Linked DNA regions of Drosophila melanogaster. The gene in region 1 interacts genetically with each later gene. Each region holds a gene or a part of one and is shown in the gene's direction. Other genes may lie near its edges. The genes, in order: Nrx-1, CASK and Syx4.

Region 1 (3,754 bases):
GGCACGCATCAAATCCACGGCTGCCTGGGCATCCTCCCGAAAGAATTCAAGGCCGAACTTGCGCTGCGGCGGCACTGATTTGCCATAACCCGGCGGATCCCAGGCGATGATGGTGTGACCCGGCAGCAGTTTCGGCAGCTGCTCGATCTGGGGCCTAAAGTCGGTCCACGAGGAACCCAGTGCTCCCGGCATCAGGAGTAGACTCCGCTCCCCACTGCCGCTCTCCACAATGTTCAAATCTGAGCCATTCACACGAACTTTCCGCTCCGTGTGCAGCAAGCGCCTGGTGATCGGGGAACGGGCACCCACAAGCCGGCACAGATTGCCCAGCATTACGTAAGCGGGATCTAACGGGGATTTTGGAGTATGGCAACAAACTTAGCTGCTTCTCAAGGGCTCTTCAGATGTCCAGAGAGGAATATTTGGCAAATTCTAATCTTTACACACGACGCCTTGTAAAGTGCACTTGATAAAGATCCGTTGATAACAGCTGATTGATAAGAACAGCTGTAAGTAAACGATCGAATTAGTGTGGCTGTAGGTGCGATGATGCCATATACCGTTAAATCAAAAGTAAATATACCAAAAAACTAATTTTAAAAGAATCGTTAATTTTTTAATAATTTGAAAAATATTTTCATATTGATATTTAGGCATTGGGTGATGCACTTGCATTTTTAAGAATGTTCCTGAAATTTAAAAGATTTTTCCATTCATTTTGAAGAATATTACTTGACAATGCCGAACTCTCCACAGATTTTAAAATAATGGTAGTTTAAAAGCCCTTGAAAGTTCAAGAGCTGCCGCTCAGTTTGATTTTAAGCTTTTCGCTCTTCCCCCAGCTTTTGGCATTCCCAATCTTAGTCCTTGTTAGTCCACTTGAACGTCACGACTCCGAAGGACAATGGACAGCACGTGCTGGCATTTGTTTAGCCTTTAGCGTGCGTTAAAATATTATTAAAAACCGTAAGTGCTTAATAGCAGGATCCTGGTCCCTGCTGTAATGGTCAGTGCGTGATTCGTGTGCTCAAATTAATGTGTTCGCCTGGACTGCGACGACGATTAATGGAGGCGACGGCCTTGCAATTGCTCTCCTAGGACGAAGGAGCAGGGTGATGGGATTTGACAGAGGCAGGACATACACCCACAATCGAGAGTAAGGGACATCACATTCCACTGCCAATGCAAATGCAAATCGAATTCGACTCCGAGATGTCGAAGTTGCGTAGTAAATGTCAAGGAATTTACACGGGTCGTCTCGGAGATAGTGAGCCCGGGGGGGTGTCAGCTTGAGTTGGTGTGTGTGAGTGTGCGTGCGGCCACAGGACACCCACGCACACAGCTGAACATGCATATGTGTGTATCCATGTGAATGTGGCATCTAATACGCTTTAGTGGTGCAGGTTATGAACCTGCGTGCTATTCGCTTATTACGCATGTGTGAGTGGGCAGCTGGTGTCTATGTGTGCGTTTGTGTGTTAGTAGTACACATATGCATGCCTCGTGCGAAGTAAGCGAGCTTTTAATTTTTGGCATTCCCACACACTACACTCAAAGCGTGCGGTGCTTTCCTTTTCCGTAGCACACTTTTTCGGGTAAATCAACAAAGTACCAATATAAACCATTAAATTCAAGATTTCCAGTAATTCTGAACGATTTTAACTTGTCTAAATGTAAAATCAGTAGTGTGAGGTACAAACTCCTTTGTCCAGTTCGATTGTAGTGCCATTTTCGAGTCGCCTAGACCGCACCAGTGGCTTTTTGTGAATAAGCTGGCGGAGCTTTCGTTATCCATTGGAAACAGTGCGAAGAAATTAAGTTTGAAATTGCAGTTCAGTCTTGTCGTGGATGCAGCGCGGATCGATATCGGAGCTAAAAGCAGCGGAAGGCGCTGCTAAGCAAATTTCGACACACAACATTTTTGTATCCCTCGAAATTGAACCGAAAAATCTGCAAAAATAAATTCAACCAACCAACAAAAACGAAAAGGACGCGTCGCGCTAAAATCCAGCCCGAAAAGTTACATAAAGCAGGAGCGACAAGAATATCGTGCAAATTCAAAGGAATAATTGTGTAATTGAAAAATCTGTGTGCAGTCTCTGCAACTAATTTCGTATCCAATCAATAGTTCAATCAATACGCATAAATAACTGATTGCTGTGGAATCAACCGCAGTAAAGCGCCCATTTTAGGGGCACTTGCTGTGAGGTGCTTAGAAAAATTTTCGCCTACATTTGCGATATGCAGTGAAAATTTTTTCCGATTTTTAGTATGTACATGTACGATGGAGCGCTCGTGGGCGCCACAAACTGCGGTGGCAGGGGTATCCGGCGAGCTTTTGGCCCAACCATAACCCCCAGTATTACTAATACAGCCGACTCGGTCGGAGAAACGGTTGTCTGACAAAGTATCGATGCAAAATATGCGCCGTTTTGAATTTAATTGCCAAAAATTATGCAAATCAAGTATACAAAATGCCGAAAACTGAAGGTGCTGAACATTAAGGACCAAAAAAATCAGGCGAAATCATAAGCAATAATCGGTGCAGTGCCGTTAACAGTCGACGTGTACCGTTAACATCCGCAGCCAACTTCGCGTGGCCGAGCTTTCGCTCTCGCGCGCTCTTACGCTCTCTCTTGGCAGGCGCGGATAAAACGGATTGCCGAGTAACACCAACACAAGGACACGCGAAAAGCTCGCGCTCAAGGACTGGAATACGCGACAGAAACACAGCGAGTGAGAGAGAGAGAGAGGGAGAAGGACACTTTACGTTTACGCGCGCAACGTGCGTAGGTGCCTCTGTGTGGGTAAGCCCGAGTGCCACCGTGCGTGTGAATGAAGGCGCCACATAGTGCAACATATCAGGATAACTATGCTGATGCGGCCATGACAGCCAGGACACGGCCAAGCATGGACATGGATCAGCAGCGAAATCGAAATCAGGCGGAGCTGAGGCTCCTGCCCGCCCAGCGCACCTCCACCTCCGCCTTTGAATCCCCCGACTTGCGGTTCAACAAGGCTCGCCGCCGGCGGAGAAGCGAGCAAGTGCCTCCCGTGGTCGTGGAATACCGTCGCTCCTACCGCGTGCTCATCGTCAGCGCCCTGCTGGTCAGTCTGGCGGCCAGTTTCGTGACGCTCAGCGCCGGATTCCAGCTAGATGGATCGCAAAACTCCTTCTACACCTTCCGCAAGTGGTACACCGGACTGAATGGGACCCTCGAACTGGAGTTCAAAACGGAACAGCCCAACGGATTGGTTCTCTACACCGACGACGGCGGCACCTACGACTTCTTCGAACTGAAGCTGGTGGAAGGAGCACTGCGGCTGAGATATAACCTTGGTGGCGGAGCTCAAATCATCACCGTGGGTCGGGAACTGCACGACGGCCACTGGCACAAGGTGCAGGTCCTGCGGAACGATGAGCAGACATCGCTCATCGTGGACGGCGTCTCCCAGCAGCGATCGACCAAGGGGAAGGAGTTCCAGTTCGGCAAGTTCGCGAGCAACTCGGACGTCTATGTGGGCGGTATGCCCAACTGGTACAGCAGCAAGCTGGCCCTGCTCGCCCTGCCATCCGTTATCTTCGAACCGCGTTTCCGTGGCGCCATCCGCAATCTGGTCTACGCGGACCAGCCGGGCGGCTCCACCAGGCGCCAGGAGATCAAGCAGCAGCGCGACATCAAGTGCGGCGATGTGCCCTGCGATCACGGAGAGCTGCCCGCCCGTGAAAGGCCGCTCAGGGTGAGTCCATTAG
Region 2 (3,754 bases), 650 kb from region 1:
TTAAGAATGAGGAAGGTGTGTACTTTTTAGTTTATACCCAAACTATTTGATTGATCTCACAAATTATGAAAGAAGTTGTATAAATTAAAAAAAAAATTAATTACTTTTTTATTATTTCTGAATATTTCATAGTGCGTATAATTTAATTGGCTGCTATTTTACAATCGAAAGGTGGACATTAGTGGGTGACCACTGTTGTTATTGCTGATCATTAACACTTGTTGTTTTTGCTGCTCATCTCGAAATGGTTGTTGGTGCTTATCCTTTTCGACTATATCCCCCGTAGTAATATGGCCATATTGAGTTCATTTTCATCAGGTCTTTCTTCATTTGGCTGATGGTTTTGTGTTTGTTGCTCCCTTATTGGCTTGTTGTTTCTCTTGCATCTTATCTGTGTGTTGTTGTCGTTGGGCGTTTGGCGGTGATTGTTGTTGTTGTTGCTGTTCGAGGTTTTGTAATTGATGATGTTTATGTTTGAGTATTGGCCCCCGTCACCAGCCCCTTCCAACTGATTTAAAGATTACGCACCTACGGTTTTTATTTTTTATTTTCGAGGAGTGCGTGTGGGTTTTCCTCGTCTTCGGTTGAGGGACTCCTGTGTGTGTGCCTGGCATATTAATGCCAAGATCTTAATTTATTCTAATGGGTTTATCAAATGCTGTGGGGTAATAATAATAATAATAGATAAAGTTGAATGGCGCGAAAGAGAAGTAATGTAAATAATATGGTAATATTCAATGAGCTGTGAACGAGCCTGGCGATAAAGTAAGTTGATAAAGGTTCTGTAGTGAAAATCCCTGTATTAACACACTGGTGGCTTAGTCCAGTTAAATAAATCGTGAATCATTTTTGAAGGGGAAAATGTTTACTTTCAAGTTGATGAATGGTAATTGGCATCGTATTGCCGATAAAACTGGAAAGTGTTCGAAATTCGTATGTGCAATATTCCACAATAGCTTTATGCACTTGCTTGCGTACCGCATAAATATTTACCTCCATTTGACTTCACTCAAGCGGAAACAATTCAGTGTGCAATGAATTATCTTACTTTCGAGTAAATTTATTAAGCATGCAGTGGGTATTTATCAAAGGAAAACAACTGCCTTTTGCTGATAAGTCAAGCAAATAAAAGCATATGCAAAATGCTACCGAAGAGAAAGGAGCAGGAAAATATAATTTACTTTTTCTTTAACAAAATTAAAGTTTTAATAGTATTTATTTTCAATTTCGATAAAACATCTGTGTCGTTATGAATGACTATATTCTTAACAATATTCCAAAATTATACTTTCTCGTCCCCAAAACTTTTTTTCAAAAACTTCCGCGCAAATTTTAACAGACCAAATAAAGTTAATAACAAAATGACAGAAAAGCTTAGATACCAACGGGTTTCTGGTATTTTTCCAGTATAACCAGTTGCTTGATTCAAACAAACTTTCTTGAATTAAAACTTTGATTAACGAAGTAAGTTGCTGCAGTACCACCCTTAAATTTATTTTAAAAACAATATTTTTAATGAACACAGGTTGGTATCAATTTTCAATGGGAGAGCCGTGAACCGACTCCAAGTTCCGAACCAATCCAGCAATGCACCTGCAGCCCTGGAATTCTAGTTCGCGGCGAACCGGTTCAGTTGCAACCAGTTCTTCGCCAATCAATTCCTCACGGGCCGTGTTTGTTTTAAGTTAAAATTAGTAAATTACCCAATGCAATCAGCTTGCCAGGCGATTCGTGCTGCGCACCTAGACAATCGAGTGCTAATGCGATTCGCTAAAATGCCAAAAACCAGCGGCCGTTGAAGAATCGCTGCCAAATCGGTGGGTTTTCGTACATAAAACTATATGCGAATTGTTCGTGCCAGTGTGTGTTCGTGTGTGTGTGTGTGTGTGTGGTGTGAGTGTGGCCCCCTCTATGTGTGGCCGATAAAGGGGGCGGTGTCGTTGATAAGGGGGCGTGGAACATGAGCAATGCAAATCCTTTAGACAAAGAATCAATTTGCCAATTGTGCGACACTCGAGAGTCTCAAAAAGTCCTAAAAGCAGGGCCAAATGCACACACATAGTCAGTGAGTGAGTGTATGTGGGTGTGGGTGGGTGCGTTAGTGAGGTGGGCGGTAAGGTCGTGTGGAAAGTGTCAAGGCATTTTACAACAGCGGCACACGAGCAAGGTAAAACCCTCGAGCCCGAATACTAAAACCGAGCCAAAAACACCGCGCCCCATGCGCAGCTCTGCATTAAACATGACTACCAGAAAGTCCTTCGCGGGGATTCCCCGCAAATGCTCCGTCCTGCTCTCGCAGTCGCAACTCAGTTCTCCACATTTCGTGTGTGCATCGTAAATTGTTGCACATTTAAATATTCATGCAGCCCGGGCAGAAAGCATAGCTTATATTTTTTACGATTACAATTTTGGTGCTTTACACGAATTTCCCACGGCGCCGGCGCACTTTACATCCATGCTCGCCATCTTTCTCGCACTCCTTCGCTCTCTTTCACACTCTCTCGCTCTCTGGCTTTCTCCTTTCGGATTTTTGGAGTGCCATCAAAGTTTTGAAAAGTATGTTCAAGTGCTGGACCAAAAGGCATAATAATAGTATGGCCAAGACAAAGGTAGCGCCTCCCATCCACCCTCCCCCCCTGCGAACTTTCCCCGCGAACATCCTTGGAACGAGACCCTCGAAAAGGACACATTCTGCAGGTCCTGCTGGCTTGTTTACCTTTTCAGCTGGCCATCATTTCCGTTGCAAAATTCACAACGCCCACTGTGCGGGGATACTTCCTTCCTACCATTGGCACTTTCGACAGCATTTTGTGCATTTGTGGTGTGTGCCGCCTGTAATTGATTGGGGTTTACACCTGATATGAGTGTGATTGACATATCAAACAAGTTTCGGCCAGGCCAGTCTCATTTCCGTTGCGACACCATTAACAGTGGTCCCTCGAAAAGTGTTCCCATCACACAAGTGTCAACACGCCAGCCCAACTTTATAGTGGCATTTTCAATTTGATTGATTCAGATAGCATTATAAACTTAACTTAGTTTGTAAGTAAGATTACAAAATATTTAGGAAATTATTAGCAAATTTTCTTGATTAAAATCTGTGTATAATTTTTCACAAATGTAAACAAATTTGTTTATATTTGCGTCATCTGCTTGACAGAATTCTCGCAAAGCTTCTTGACAGTTTCTTAATTAGACGCCAAATAAATCTGATTAGCGGCCTTCAACTAATGGAAAAACTCACCTTCACCATTTTCACTTGTTATATTTTTCCAGCGCAAAATGCATTCTTAACATCAGCAGCTACGAAAACAGCAACAGCATTAGCGGCAACAACGAATCAACGACACCAATAACAATACCATTAACAACAAATCATCAGAAGAAACCGAAGGAAAACGCTCAAAGTTTTGGAGTTGCTCACTGGCCGCTTAGTTTTTTGTTTATTTTTTATGTTCGTTTTTGGAGGGCAGTAGGCGACGACGGGCAAAGGAAGCGGGAGAAGGAAAAGCGACGGACACGAAAAACAGGACACAACTCATCAATATTCGAAAAAGCAATTGAGTCGAGGCATCAATTCATCAATTATTCAAAATGACCGAAGACGAAATTCTCTTTGACGACGTCTACGAGCTGTGCGAGGTCATTGGCAAGTAAGTTAGCGCCCCACCGGCTATATCTTTAGCCGATTCTGCTGCTGACAGCTGGCATCCATGGCCATTATCTCATTATGTATTATGTATCCGCCCCGTAT
Region 3 (3,754 bases), on another chromosome or scaffold:
GCACCGCCAGCGCTTTCCATCAGTTTCCATTTCTCGTTTTGTGCGTGAGCCTCTGACCCAAATAAAAACAAACAAAAATAACAACAGAAGTGGTAACTAAGGTGGGGACAACGCACAAAAAGACTCATCAAAAACTCATAAATTTGCAATTTTCGACACATGACAAAATAAATTGTAAACAAAGGAAAGCGCGAAAGCCGAGAAAACTAACAAAAAACGGGCACAATAAACTTGACTGCCTATAACAATATCTCCGCTTTTCCGACCCCTTTGTTTATGGAAAAGCAATGGAAAAAGGTGAAAAGCGGGTGTTAAACGCAGGGAATATGAATATGTTGCTGTTTTGCCAACAATTTGCACTAAAAAAATAAGTGAATAGATAATAATAACCTGGAATACATTTTAGACTTACAGTCCGCAATGCAAATAAAGGCGGGAAAAACAAGAATTTCATCTTTTTGTATTCTCATTACCTAAACTCAATGAATCCCATGGATTGATAAAAATAAACTGCTTTGTATAGCCACTCCACCTAAATTGAGTTTTGCTTTGTTATGCAGTTTTTTTTTTTAACTTTACAGCACAAAAGTGACAATATCTTCATTGAGTCAGAGTTCTATACGATCGTTTGTAAATAAAAGCGGATTCACGACTTTCGAGCAATTGAATGCCTCTTAATAACGAGTTGGCAAGAAATCGTCGACTAATAAAATGATATTGGAACTCACAAAACCTTCCGAATGTATCTGATAAGCGATTGGCGGTTCGAATTCCACGACGGGGTCACAAAAAAAACATGACTTATATGACTCATTTTAAAAGCCAAACAAAAAAAAAATAAAGCAAAAATAAAGTAACAAGTTCAAGCTCAGAAACATCAGTTTATCTCAATCTCAATTAATTGGTATTTTGCAATAAAAAGTAAATGTTCATGTTTAAAGGGTGTATTAAAGGGTATTCGCGAATTCACATATTCCACATTGAATTTCCAAATCGATTTAAATGTTTTAACCTTATGGCGCTACATGCAGTTCAATTCAAAGTATCAGTATATCACGTATACGTATGCTTTTTATACAATCATTAGAGAGGGAAGAATTCGCGACACGATTCTTTTCTGCCGTCTTTTTAAATGGCATGGCAACTTGAGAAGAATTGCGAACCAAATGAGAAATGGAAATTCGCAACTGTCTGGTGTTGATGGTTTTATTTTTCTTGTTATTGTTGTTGACGTAGTTGAGGGCAGTTCATAAGCTTCGTTTTGCAACCGCAAGAATTGCTAATATAAAGCGGGTAGACCATCTAGCTACCCAGTAAGCAAAATAGCAATAAATTTATTATGGGAAACTTTCGAAGAAACAAGCAACTGAACTGTGCTTAAGAAGTATAATTTACACAAGCGTTTTGAAGGGATCAAGTTGTAAAAAGTGGTGAGTACAACGCTTGACAATGAATTTACACCCTTGACCTACATAGATGCGACCCGCTGATACCCTGTAAATGCATATGGTGGCACAGTACAAAGCCAGCAATAGAAAAAAGTTCAACTAATTAGCGCAAGTGACTTTTGAACGTTCTCGTCGCAGGTTTATTTCTCTTACTCGGTCTTTTATTTCAATTGAACGGCAACATGGAGCGTGAAAAGTGCGACAACAACAGCAAAAGGCGGCAGAGCAATGTAGAAATGTTTACCATACAACAGAGTAGAAATAATAATAAAAACAATTAACACATTTTTCTCCGCCGCCTAACCAGTTTTCATTTCGGTGGCAAAGACGATTTATTCATTTTATTCGGAGACAACAAAAAATGTAGATCGCCACTAACTACACATAATGTAGTACGAGTCTCTATCTTTATCTCTCTCCAGCTAAAGCACATGAACGTACATATCAAATACACCGAAGTTCATGAAATCGAATACCTTCGTATATTCAAATCACAATTCTATTGCTGCATTTAATGTACATTTTTGAATTTTTCATAACTAATTTGAATTTGGATTAGGCCCAATGAATTTATACCATAAAATGCCTATTATTTTGGCCCAGGCTGTAGCCAGAGTGTTTGCTGTCTTTAATCTTTTTGAATTGAAAGAAATCTCGACGCGACTGGGAGGCTCTGCGTTTTTGTGCCGGCGTCGATTTTTTAGTTCGAAAACGTATGCGGCGCGGTGAAGACAAAGGAATTGATTTTCAATAAATCGAATAAAATGTAGCCGAATGTATTTACATGTTAAATTTTAAAAATACATAAAGCTAGTTTTTCCCATAATCCAATTTTTTTCTTTTTTGTGTTTGTGTGTGTGTGCAACAAAAGAGCGAGTAAGAGAGCAAAGAGCCGCCAATAAATGGCAAATATGTGATAGGTGATAATCTGTGTTTAGGCCTTTCTGACTGTCCCTCTCTCTCTCTCTCTCTCTCTCCATGACTTTCCACCCCGCCCTGTCGCTTTCCGAAGGGCAGACGGTAAATATTAGGCGGCTCTTATCAGAAACTTGTGCGCTGATAAGCTTTGATAGCAGGTTTCGCTCTCTCCTGCGCTCTCAATCAAATTTTCCCATTCGCGAACAGCTGTTGGAGGCAACGGCAACAACAAACCAGGAACAAAGCTCAGAAGCTGCTGTAAAGGATATAAAGTGGACATTTTGGAGTACTGGAAAGGAATTCAAGGAATTGGCATAAATTTGGCATATAATTGGCATAATTCAAACCAAAGGCAGTCCAAGTTGCAGAAATGGGTAAAGATCGACTGCCCGAGCTTTTGCAGGTAAGAAAATATTAGAAACGTGGGTGGTTGGTTGGGAGGTTGGGATGAGGTAACTGCTAATTAGTTTGAAGCACAGTGGTTTGGCATCACTCAAACCGCAATACGAATAAAATCTACTTAACACGATGAAATACATTTGGTGGTATTTGCCAGGAAAAGGATTCCACTTTTCTCGGTAAAAAGTAATCCTAATCAAAGTTTTTTTTTTTTTTGCGGCACGTTGAAACACATTCTGACCAAGGTGCTGCCACCTTCTTTACAATTGGCCCAATCTCTCACATTTCTGTTGGCGCTTTTGGCACTATTTCGACTTGTGAGCCAAGGGGGTTTGGTGGGTGTTCGCTATGGCATTTATCAGATCGGCCAGAGATAACGACGATAATGTGGCCACACATCACACTTACGGGGCAACCCCGCGTTTCCGCCGACAAACTTTTAGCACCAAGTGAATTTCAGTACCGAAGTCATTTTTATAGTTCATTTACACCGCGCCAGATTGTGAACACACAAACGTAAATAAACTCAACCAAAGTTGTTAGTTTCAATTTAGTTTTTTCTCAGTTTTTCCCTGCAGTTCGTTAGGATCGCATGGACCTATTTTATTTTTATTTATTTATTTTTTTTTCTTCTCATTTTTGCTGTACTAATTCCAGCGCTCATTGAGCACGAACTCGTCGAACTCGTCGTCGAACGGTTCACTGCTTTTGAACGTGTACAGTGGAACCACGGAGTTCATCATTGGCAACACCGGCGGTAACAATAATAGCTACAGTGTCGTTAGCCAAAACTCTCACAGCTGCAGCAACAATAACAGCAGCACCGAACCCAAGGATCGGTCCAGTTCAAAGATGACGCAGTATGGCTCGAATGTGGATGACATACTCAATCCGGTGAGTTTAAGGATCGAAGTGTATACAAAACACAACTTCAGAATTCATACAAGTTTTTACTATTATTGAGTATTGAAATAGTTAATAGAAGAAAC

The links.
Region 2: of Nrx-1 (region 1) and CASK, changing one enhances a phenotype caused by changing the other (phenotypic enhancement), as found in Drosophila melanogaster (one study listed by BioGRID).
Region 3: of Nrx-1 (region 1) and Syx4, changing one enhances a phenotype caused by changing the other (phenotypic enhancement), as found in Drosophila melanogaster (one study listed by BioGRID).

The regions. Positions count from the first base shown.
Region 1 is NT_033777.3:22,467,650-22,471,403, forward strand, and holds the start of Nrx-1 (neurexin 1), read left to right. Parts: upstream 1-1,828; 5' UTR 1,829-2,835; coding exon 2,836-3,741; intron 3,742-3,754. Other genes in the region: CG5377 (uncharacterized protein), read right to left, coding at 1-333. UniProt on the Drosophila melanogaster protein: Neuronal cell adhesion protein involved in synapse formation, development of synaptic active zones, synaptic regulation and visual function. Plays a role in cell adhesion between the pre- and the postsynaptic cell.
Region 2 is NT_033777.3:21,820,546-21,824,299, reverse strand, and holds the start of CASK (CASK), read left to right. Parts: upstream 1-1,625; 5' UTR 1,626-1,817; intron 1,818-3,276; 5' UTR 3,277-3,594; coding exon 3,595-3,653; intron 3,654-3,754.
Region 3 is NC_004354.4:2,742,466-2,746,219, reverse strand, and holds the start of Syx4 (syntaxin 4), read left to right. Parts: upstream 1-2,143; 5' UTR 2,144-2,736; coding exon 2,737-2,769; intron 2,770-3,261; exon of another isoform or gene 3,262-3,303; intron 3,304-3,422; coding exon 3,423-3,659; intron 3,660-3,754. UniProt on the Drosophila melanogaster protein: Potentially involved in docking of synaptic vesicles at presynaptic active zones.